Arabidopsis thaliana: one gene and its partner. The protein of the gene in region 1 interacts with the protein of each later gene in a pairwise test. Each region holds a gene or a part of one and is shown on either strand. Other genes may lie near its edges.

Region 1 (4,580 bases):
TTGCCTTCTTTTGAGGATGGACCTTGCTTCCGAACATAACTGAAGACTTGGAGAAGTTGATTAAAATTACCAGATTAAACAACGACTACATATCTACCAATGCAATAATAGAACCGTACGACTCCAACATAAGACAAAACACTAATATCCAGTTTGGAGAAAAAAATGATTAATTAAACCATATGAATCTGAAATTTGTTTTTCCAAAACTTGTTTAAGAACTTTTCATTGATGTAAATTGCAATCTCATAGTTTTGTTAACAACAAAATGAACTGTAAACCCAATTTCAGACTCGTGTTTGTTCAATCCTAAACATGTTGGTTTCTTTCCTGATTTGGCTATATCTTTTTATAATTAATAACAATGAGACTATGATAGTTTATTAATTAAAAAAATATACAATATATTAATCAGTTCGGGTAGCCGATTTGGAATTGAAGAAATGTATTTAGTATCGAGTATTAATTTATAAACATATACTAAAAATCTTAATCAAATTTTTTTCCTTAATCCAAAATCTCTAAGCTTTAAAAGTTCAGTAGCCAATTGACACATTGTTTGTATTTATAATTTCAATATGAGTCCATCCTAAACCTAAAATAGATTTAAGCAACTTGTAAGTGAATATTTAAATAATCAAAACGAATTGTTATAAGGTTTTTTGAACCATTTTAGAGGACCCAAAAACTGTGAATCGGAGATGGAAGATCCACAATTTGTAATCGACCATATCTCCTTGTTCAAGCAACTTTAAGATAAACTCAAAATGGTATAGACTCTTCCTGAAGAAGAAATCATAATCTCACGGCTATATAAAAAGAGGATAAAACTAATAAAAGACTAAACTACTGCTTAACTGCAACAGTATTAATTAAAAAGGTTCAAAATCACAGTACAAAAACAATTAATACAAAGGAAAATCGTGGAATCCTGCTCTAAATCAATTTTTTACCAGATTCTTGAAATTTACCTACAAAGAAATAAGATCTTGTAAGATTGTAAATTCATATAGTGATAATTACAAATGCGATAGACATGTACTAACACTATGTGATCCAACAAAATACAAAAGAGAAGCATTAGGGTGTTGCTAATAAGAGTATATTATCTCTGTATTTGTCTAACAAGTGGTGGTTTCGAAAGAGATTTATATAACTCAACTTAATTTATAACAAAAAATCATTTTAATGAAACAGAAAACTTTGTAGAGTTTACACCTCAAAGTGAATGTCCCTAAATGTCTCAGCTATTTGAGTAAACCGACCAAACAGTATCACAAAAAAAGCCATATTGCATCTTCCTCTGGCTTCACACTCGTTTCTTCAGACAGTGAACCGGCTTCTTCTGGAATCATCCTGCGTATAGACAAAGATATATTAAGCCACATGAGATCTAAAACATGTACAAAAAGATGATAGCTTCTTCTTTAGAGAAGTGTAATTACATGGTTATTGAAAGTTATCTTGTCGGTGACATCAAGTATCTCCTTCCACTTCTTCCCAATACCCATCTGAATTACAATAACAAACACCAAGTAATAAATTCATCAGATAGATTCATAAACCAATCTTAACATATTGCCAAGTTTTAAAACAGATGTCCATTGACAAAGATAGTTATGTTTATAATGCCAATGAACTATTATATTTACTATTATGTTTATAAGTCGCAACATATAACCTTAACATTAAAAACAACAATTTTACTATTGCAGAAGTATCTCAATCATCAGAAGCTGGTAAAACTCTCAAGGACAGGCAACAAAGCAAGTTAAGCATCAAAACCCACTAGCTATATAGTTCTCTGTGTAGCATTAAGAATTCTCGTAACGAGTGTTAGTATTTTCTAAAGTTTACCAAACTAAATTTGGATATCCCACCAACAATCATAATCATGAATAGCCAACACCAGCATCAATATAAACATAGTGAGAAGACAAACAAACATCATACCAGAACAGCTTCATTAGACTTCGTCCTAGTCCACAAGGAGAGCTTGTCTTGCTTCGACTGTGGACGGACACTAGCAACCACACCACAAATCTCATCTGCTTCATCAAATTGCTCTCCAATCAAAGCCATCAACTACATATCATAAGAAATAGAACCAGTCACCAAAACCACATATCATCTAACAAAACACAGAAGAGTAAAAGGTTAGGGTTAGGGTTAGAATGTAATACAGTTTCAAGCCAGCCTTTGTCTAAAGCTTCCTTCCTATTAGCAGTAACAACCCAAGTCCACTTTCCTCCATTAGCACACTCTGGATCTTCCCACTTTGGCTCAACACCAGCTTTGAACAAGTGAATTTCAGCATTCGCTGTCAATTTGCTAGTCTGAAATATAGTCTCGTGCAATCTAACAATAACCAAAAAATTAACATCCTTAGATTTTCGGATCCATACACATAGATCGAGATTCACAATAACCATAGCTTCTATACAAATCCCAGATTTAGAAGTTACAAAGCAAGGCATTGACAAATATTGAAATCAAAGGAGAAGAGAGAAAGACGAACCCCCAAAAATCTTCGACGGTGTCGAAAGTATAGGCTTTACGAAGAGAAGCTCCCCAGGCGGCGCCTTTCTTTGATTGGTTATCGAACCAGAAACTCCACTTTCTTTCGAGCTTGTGTGGTTGTTTCTCCGCCTCTGTCGCCGGTAATTCCGCCGCCGCCGGGAGAGGCTCGTTCACATCATCGGTCGCCATATTCTTCGCAGTTGAGTTTTCTTCTGAGACGGCTTTTGGTTACGAGAGAGGGACAGAGAGATTGTTTTTGAGATGTATTTTGGAATGGTTTAAGAAGTGAAAAGGGCTATTTCTGGACTCTATTGGGTCAATTTTGGGCCGGTCCATCAGAGCATTTAACTCTTCTTTTCTTCTTTTTTCTTTTTCTATTGTCTTTTGGTATTTAAAAAACAAGTAAAAATAAAAATCTCCAAAATTAATTGCAAGTGGAATCCCAATAGACAAGGGTTTAAAGTATTTTTTTTTACAACAAGGTGTTGTTAAAAAAAAAATAAAAAAAAATACACCAAGGTATGAGATCTAATTTCCAAATAGCGGAATTTCTTTCATATTGTCAATGCAAAATCTTAATTAGTAGTATCAAATTAGAAAATATTGTTTACATTAGAGGTTCTAGAGTAATAAAAGATATTTTATTATATAAAGCATGATTTTTAAATTTAGTAATTCATATGACTGTTACATGTGTTATTTTTGTAGATCTTAGATTTTGGTACATGTAATTTTATTATAAATTTTAAAATTTTTAATATAAAATAAGATAAATTAAAGAAACAAAATAGTTTTAAAAATGTAAATAAGATTTTTATATTATAGTTCCAAATATAAATTAAAAAAATAAAGTTATTATAATTCCTAATCTTTTTCCCCCAAAAACAAGAAAACTTACAAATCTCTGCTTGATAAACTCATATACTCTCACTCGCCGCCTAAACTTCGGCGACGTTTGTTTGATCGCCGTCGTTCTCTCTTAAGACGAGAAGAAGTGGCAAAAACTGTACATTCTGTATCAGTTACCGCATAAAATCCGGCTACTAATTATATAGAGGTGAGTATTTGAAATCTTTTTCCTTCTAAGATTATAATTAATTGTAAAATTCCTTTATGTATTATATTTAATATAATAAGATCGTTTCCTTAAATCCTTTTTAAAATTTTTAGGAAGACGGTAATCAATTTTCTTTTAGAATTAGTAATTTCAAATTAGAATTAGTAATTGATTTATAATTTCTTTCAGTAAGATACATATAATTATCTTCTTTACATTTTTATTTCTTTAAAATAATATGTAATCTTATATTTTCTATCTTTGTTTGATAAGATACATATAATTTTCTAATATTTATCTTCTTTCAATTTTTTAAAATTGTTTTATATAAGATATATTAATATTTTACTTTGGTTTTTATATTTATATTTTTACTCATTTAATAAAATTGATAATAAGATTACATGTGTCAAAATCTAAAATCGAAAACCATACTTTATATAATAAGATATAATAATAGACAATTCTCAAAAATACCACTAAGATAAGTTTTTTGTTCCAAAAGTAACACCATCAGTTTTTTTCGTAACAGTACCAGTAAAAGATACTTTTTTTGAAAATCCCACAAAACTAAAATTCACCTATAATTTAAACTTTGGGTCTGCATTTAATATTTTGTGTTTAAATTTTAGGGTTTAGGATTTAGTTTTGAAGGTTTAAAATCTTTAGAAATCATTTTTAGACTTTGTGGTATTTTTGTACTAAATCGTTTGTAGAGGCATTTTGGAAAGAAAAAAAAACTATTTATGGTTTTTTGGAACAAAAACTTAGCTTAATGCTATTTTAGTGTATTTCTCTATAATAATAAAACTATGTTACTTTTAGTGATAAACCTTCTATTTTTTTTTTTGAGACTCAATTCAAATCAGTTTGTTTAGCATGGTTGACAACAAAAAAGGGTGGAGTTAAAGCAATTTTTTATTTGCTAGTGCTTGTGTCAAGACCACCATCATTTTAACAAAAAAAAGAAGTAAAAACTTAATAGCTTTAATTTGCTCATAAG
Region 2 (6,667 bases), 9.6 Mb from region 1:
GCATTAATAGAAAGACCAATCAGTTCTAGAAACATCTTGCAGCCTTTCCATTTTAAGAATCAATAAATACAGAAACGAATTTTTGCAAAAGTTAAGAGAGGCAGAAAAAAATACTTTCAGCATCCTTGAGATCTTCCTGGAGTCTGATAATCTCTTTCTTCCTCTCTTTAGCCTAATTTCAAAATCGAAAATCTCACTATGTTAGAACCTCCGTCTCGCAACAATTAGAGCTGACCTAGATTTCTAAACGAAGAACAGAAATCGAAATGTAGCCTAGAATTCGTAGATTTCACCAGATATATATATCAGATAGTTCGCAACGAGAAGGCCATTAAAACCAAATGCAAAAAAAAATAAAAAAAAATCGAGAAGTTTCACCTTCTGCTTCCAGCGAAGTGCATCAGATTCAGAAGAAACATAACAACGGGAAGTAGAAGAAGAAGATTGATGATTCTGAAACTTAGATCGTAGCAGAGAAACAGCGATTGCCAGTCTCAGCGACTCTTCCTTCTCTGTGTGATTTGCTTCAGCTACGCTTGAACTCATTTTTGTTTAAAATTGAAAAAAAAAAAAAAAAGTATTTTAGTTTTCAGGATAATAACTAATGATTCTCTGTCCTGCGCGGGAGAGTTTTTGTGACGCTTTACAAAGCCCACTCAGGCCCATTGATCAAACTTGATAAAGCTTAAGGTCGAATGAATCATTTACTCAACTAATGTTAGCTCAGAATCAGATAGGAATAATAGGAAGACGATGATCAAACATTTCCAATGTAATTATCTGAACCGACCAGTTTATAGGGGTCTCAAGTCTCAACAACAATCAACTGAATATAATAACTGAGACCGTAAAACAAAAATGCAAAGGTCAAAAAAAGACAAGTCACAGAAGAATACAAAAAAGGACATGGACTCATGCCCACAAAGAAGAGTGGTGAGAATAATGTCATAAGAAAAAGCTTCAACGAAGAGCAAAACTATTTTTGAGTTCTGAGAATCCTTTTCTCCTCCTCCTTCAAGCTTACAACACAACATTCATCGCACAAGCATAAGACCCAGAGAGAGCAAAATCGTCAAGTAATGATTCCTTTTACAGATTCCGACAAGCCTCTATGTCTGCAGCCTGTGAGGCCAACAAGGACTTCCCCTGCTCGCTTGACTCCACAATGCGTACAGCTGCATCGACCACCATCTTCTGGAACCTATCGTCTTCCATCTTCCCTATAATTTCTCTAACCAATTTGAAATCCACACCACCAGCCAGAATCAGCTTTCCCACAATCTCACCAAAATTGTTTGGTGCCTTAGGAAGATCAATTCCAATGTCGTCCAACATAGCACCGTAGAGCAAGAACCCAGTTTCAAGATCCTTGGGTGCGACTACCTTCTTTGATAACAAATACTCCAAGAGTGTAGCAATTGGCTCAACGACAGGCGGGCTTTTCTCAAGAGACAGGGATATTGCTTCCTTCACAAACTCTGGGTGATATGACGGCAAACCAAGCTCCTCTACACACTGCAGAGCTTCACCAAGTAGTCGGACATTGAAATATTCCTCGAGAAGCGACTTTGTTTTTCTTTGGAGCACTTCTTCGCTCAACTTGGGACCACTAGGCTGTGGTTTCTCCACCGGAACTGGTACGGTCAGAGGTGCAACTGACTGTGCTGGCCGTTCTGCTGACACGGTAACTGGACGCGACACTGAACCACTTCCCTGCAACAGTGCGCTTGTCTTGCCACTCATAATGCCACTGCTGCCTTGAGGTAAGAGCCTCGTGTTCATTGAGGCCGACTTGCTCACTGCTGGAGAATGTAGAGGTCCTGGCCCATCGCGTCTAGACATTGATCTTGTCCGGGGTACCTCCCAGTTATCATTGTCCACTCCGGGCATCCCAGGCATCCTTCGCGTCCCAGGCATACCAGGCATCAAGCCACCCGCACCAGGTCGCCCACCAGGGTAGACAGGGCCAGGGCTCACAGGCCCACCACTAGAAACCATACCCCTTCTCATATTTGCAGTGGCACCTGGTCGGAGACCAAGATTCTTCTCTGCCTCAGTATGTATTTCGGTTATAGTTCTTGCTTTCATCTGCACGAGTAATGTAAATAGAACATTAGAATCACTACACAATGGAGCAGGAAACAAGTCTCAACCTTGTAAAACCTAGAATACCTCTTCCCGCCTTGGAACCCAGCCATTGGAGCGCATGTCGATGATATTCTGAACCATGAATCTCAGACGCAGTTCCAACTGAGGATTCTTTGACAGAGCCTGTAGGCGTTTGAAATATACATCATTAATCCGTTTTGACTTCACGTTTCCGTCAAGTTGTTTGCCAATAGTTTTGAAGAAATGACAAATAGCTTCGACATTTTCCTCGGCTGGACAAACTTTCTCATCGGCCCCCAGAAGCTCCTGTGCACAGAACAAATTAAGAAAGGTTAATGCTAGATACCAAAATAAAAGAAGTCTAAGAAAATGTGTAAGCTTATAGGTGTTAACCTGAACAATGTGATGAACAATCTTTTCTGGGACCATCTTCTGCTTCAAAAGCTCACCAATCAAACGAATATTTCCTAGAGTCTTGAGCTTCAACAATTTTTCTTTGTCATTCCGCTCAGCCTCCTGATCTGGAGCACTCATCTGTCTAAGCTCCTCCCTCAACTGAGAAGCGCCCTCAAATGCCTCTTGACAGATATTCAGTAGAACCCTCTTAAATGTAATCTCCTTATCCCCAGGCTCTGCAGGTGGGAAGGTGGGCAGCTGGTCGTTGATATCAGAGCACAATTTTGCATACATAGGGCAAAAGGTCGGCTCAAGGACAGCTTTGTCAAAAATAAGGGTAATCACACCCTACAAATGAAAGAAAAGAACACGGGTTAGCCACACAAACAGCCTAGATGATTCAAACAAGACTTCATCTATGCTTGAGACATAGCATACACCTTCAGGATATCAGCAGATGTGATGCCAGATTCAATAAGTTGGCCCTTGAGAAGGTCATACTTTTCAGGGGTTAGCTTGTTCAGTATCCTGGACAAGAAAAGTATATCTTTGTAAGTGTGCATAGTCTATTTTAAAGATTTCATGTTGGCAGTAAAGGAAAGTTATACAAAAGTCTAGACAACTAATAACTGTCACAACGGCATTACCCTTTCACAGTCTTCAGAACACGATCATTTTCAGAAAGGTTTCCTCTTCTAGCTGACCAAGGAACTTCGGCTTTGACGAGGACAGGAGCTGGTCCACCCTGGTTCCACACGATATACAAATAAGTAAGAAAAATAAGAAATCATGCCAGAATGTAAAGGGCTAAGAAGAGGGAAAAACATTCATCTATTGATCAATTACCCCTTGGTTGGATGATATGTTTGCCCTTGAAAACTGGGAATTAGGTTGGTCTTGACGATTATATTGACTTGCTTCAACATACCTGGAATCTTTAGCTTCACGAAGATTATCCCACGACCTTTCCTCCCCAGAGGGTGGAGGTTGAGTAGAACGGCTACGCCAATCACGAGAGTCTGGCTCAGAGAAGCGACTTGCGGATTGAACGGGAACCTGAACCATTAAAATAAAAGATATGTGTTAAAAGTGAAACTTCATGAAACTATACCAAAATGCAAAATTTATGTTTCAACAAAACTATACCAAATTGCTTACGACACTTTCTCCACGTGCCCAAGTCCCTTCCTCACCAAACAGTTCAGCTGCAGTTTCCCGTTGGACTCTCAGAATTTCATCAGAGAGTTGAGTGGTCTGTATATATGCACAGACGTCAATGACCTCAACTAAGGAAGAACAAATACGAACAGCAGAAACTAAACCGGCTTTAATCCTATATTATTTAACTGGGATAATCACCTCTTTAAGCTCCAGGAGCTGCTCACGGGTGTACTTCACACGTTCACGGCCATCGAACCTCGAGTCTCCACCCTGAAACAAAAGCACAACCCAGGATAAATCTTCATTAACTAACACCCAATACACAAAATCATATAAGAAATAACGTATAAAGGAGACAAGGAACCACGAGTACTCAGTACAAAAGAAAGAGAGGAATAATTCTTTAACCATAAGGCCGAAATGAGTGATGAACTAAAGAAAAACTAGAAGAAATGTCAGTAGGTCCTTTATGAGCAAATAGCAGCTAACAAAATGCCCACCTAAAAGCCTACATATCATTATACGTCCATATTTACAGCAGAAACACATACTTGCGTGCGCCACTAAGAATCAGGACAAACAAACTGCTTGCATTACTCGTATTGACATATAAACCTATGAAGTTCAATTATGTATGTTGCAGACACCTATCAAAATCCAACATGAGCTCAGTAGTTATTACAAACACAAAGCATTAAAACTCGCAAATCAGAAAGATATTAGCCAATTCAGACATTTGAGAGAATCAAATCAGCAATATACCAAAGATTATAATTCCAAACAAAAAGGCTGCTGATTGCGACAAACCCGTAAAAAAGGATAAATTTTTAGCTCAAGCTAAGACAAGAGAGATAAAACAAATTCTAAATCAGAGGAAGAAGAGGGAGTTAGATCCAAATTTAGAGAGGGGACCCAGAAATGAGGGTACCTTGAAGGGAAAAGAGGAAGCAGGAGCACCACCATGAGGACGAAGGAGAGGTAGATCCGAAGATGAAAGAGAGCCAAAAGAGAGAGACGAAGAAGAAGAAGAGGAACCAAATAGTCTGTTTCCTCGACCGCCACCAGGTCTCAAGCTCAGAACCGTTTGATCGCCTTGCTGCATACCTCGATCTAATCCGCCTTAAGATCGAATCGAATCTCACAACAAAAATCGAAGAGAAAGGTAGAAGCTTTATCAGCGACGATGAATCGCTGACTCCGATAATCCAAGGAGAGGAGGGATCGGATTTCTGGGTCTCTCTCTCTCCTGCCGTTAGCGAAGAAGAGAAGAGAAGAGAAAAGTTGAGATTGAGAAATGAGAAGAAGAAGAAGAAGTCGAGAAGGAGACACAATCCCTTCTCTTTATTAGGGTTTTTTTCCTCTCTTTTTCCCGAACCAGACACACTTATAGCCTTAACGTTTTTTTCCGTTAAGATTACAGTTATGTCCTTTCATTTTGTTTTTTTGTCTCTTTATTTTGTCACCCTCATTGGGTTTTCCGTCAATGAACAATGTCAAATGGTAATAATGGAGCTTCCTCGGCTCGTGTTAGCTGCACCTCTAGCTCATTGTAAACATATTAAGAGACTGTAAAAACTACTAATCTGGCAAGTTGCAATCAAACTTCCACATCTCAATATCTTTACTTACAACAATTGTCTGTAACAAACTAAAGAGGCGTTAACACAAGCAGAGACGCAAAAGAAACAACTTCTGGCGTTTATAGACTCCTCCTTGTGTTTTGAATCAATACCTTCTCCTGAAGTTTCCTTGATACAGTAAGCAACTCTTCATGAAAGTGAGAAGTCGGTGGGCTGTGCAATGTTGACATCCTCAAACTCGTTATCATCTGCACATGGAAAAAAGAGATGCAATGCAATCATTATGCCGTTCATAGCTGTATAGATTCAGAATGCAATACAGCATCCTCAACAGTTGTGTAATCGAAACAAGGCTAAAAGAATAATAAGATTAGGAATCACATTCAGCTATATCACGGTCACAAAAGTTAGGCAAGACTCTTAAACATACCAAAAGATTATCCAGTGATAACAAAATAACTAAGATTCACAATAACAGGCTCAATTGAAGTCAATGGAGTTTGAAGGGTTCATATACCAAATAACATATAGAAAGATGAAGTGTGATAAGTAATTAACCAAGATGCATGATCCATTACGACATTTCAACAAGGAATTGAAAATTTCAGAATAAGAGGATCTAAGGTATAACCTTTCTTCAAAGTCAAAGCCACAACTGCATCATTCTCAACCTGAACAACCAAAAAAGAAGATGGTGACAAGCTTATAACTTTCAAATACACGCAAACGGAGGCAGTGGCTATGTGACCAAGTTCTTCTTTTAAACTTGAGCAATGACTCAAAAGATAAATATATTAGATAGTCAAACGTGTGATACCTTCTGATCTGCTAAGGATTTCGAATCCTCTAATACTTCTTCGGTAGACATTAAGACCAGACGCTGATTGTTAACTGGTTGCTCAATGAGAGCAAACAGTTTTTGCTTAACATCCAAAACAGTCTCTGTTGGATCACATTGGATAAAGTAAGTAGTTTTCATGCGCTTCACACGAATATACATAGCCTGCAAACAATATTACACAAGACTAATCAATACTACAACCAATATGGCCAAAATCTAACTTGTTCGATTGATTAAAGCAAAATTATTGCAAGACAAAAGTATCTCAACTTTTATTACTCCAAGAAGAACAGTAATAAATGTGATCAGGAAGCTGGAATTAAGAAGGGAAAAGATGTTCTCATTCCAAAAACATCTCTACTTCCCGTCAAATAAGCAAAGGATTGAATATACTAAGAACAATCAAACCCATCAAAGTGAACAAAAGAAGTAGAATGTTTACCATGGCAAGATAAGGATGAACAATTCACTCTTCTTCCGCTGCCGATTCACAAGACTTTAGAATCAAAATCTGTTCTAAGATGCCAATAAAAGATTAATCAGACTATCAGTGACAATTGACACACCTCAAAGAGTCAAT

Evidence for each region.
Region 2: the proteins of LSP1 (region 1) and eIFiso4G1 interact in a two-hybrid assay, tested with the Arabidopsis thaliana proteins (one large-scale study listed by BioGRID).

The regions. Positions count from the first base shown.
Region 1 is NC_003076.8:13,823,623-13,828,202, forward strand, and holds LSP1 (Eukaryotic initiation factor 4E protein), read right to left. Parts: upstream 2,782-4,580; 5' UTR 2,710-2,781; coding exon 2,519-2,709; intron 2,359-2,518; coding exon 2,184-2,358; intron 2,086-2,183; coding exon 1,954-2,085; coding exon of another isoform or gene 1,948-1,953; exon of another isoform or gene 1,512-1,947; coding exon 1,446-1,511; intron 1,357-1,445; coding exon 1,324-1,356; 3' UTR 1,219-1,323; exon of another isoform or gene 999-1,218; intron 972-998; 3' UTR 802-971; downstream 1-801. UniProt on the Arabidopsis thaliana protein: Recognizes and binds the 7-methylguanosine-containing mRNA cap during an early step in the initiation of protein synthesis and facilitates ribosome binding by inducing the unwinding of the mRNAs secondary structures.
Region 2 is NC_003076.8:23,437,856-23,444,522, reverse strand, and holds eIFiso4G1 (MIF4G domain-containing protein / MA3 domain-containing protein), read right to left. Parts: upstream 5,024-6,667; 5' UTR 4,769-5,023; coding exon 4,595-4,768; intron 4,223-4,594; exon of another isoform or gene 4,117-4,222; intron 3,937-4,116; coding exon 3,865-3,936; intron 3,760-3,864; coding exon 3,652-3,759; intron 3,562-3,651; coding exon 3,352-3,561; intron 3,251-3,351; coding exon 3,153-3,250; intron 3,034-3,152; coding exon 2,946-3,033; intron 2,854-2,945; coding exon 2,503-2,853; intron 2,416-2,502; coding exon 2,173-2,415; intron 2,089-2,172; coding exon 1,090-2,088; 3' UTR 708-1,089; downstream 1-707. Other genes in the region: MPS1 (multipolar spindle 1), read right to left, coding at 115-172, 379-546; AT5G57860 (Ubiquitin-like superfamily protein), read right to left, coding at 5,436-5,494, 5,878-5,917, 6,064-6,249, 6,530-6,532.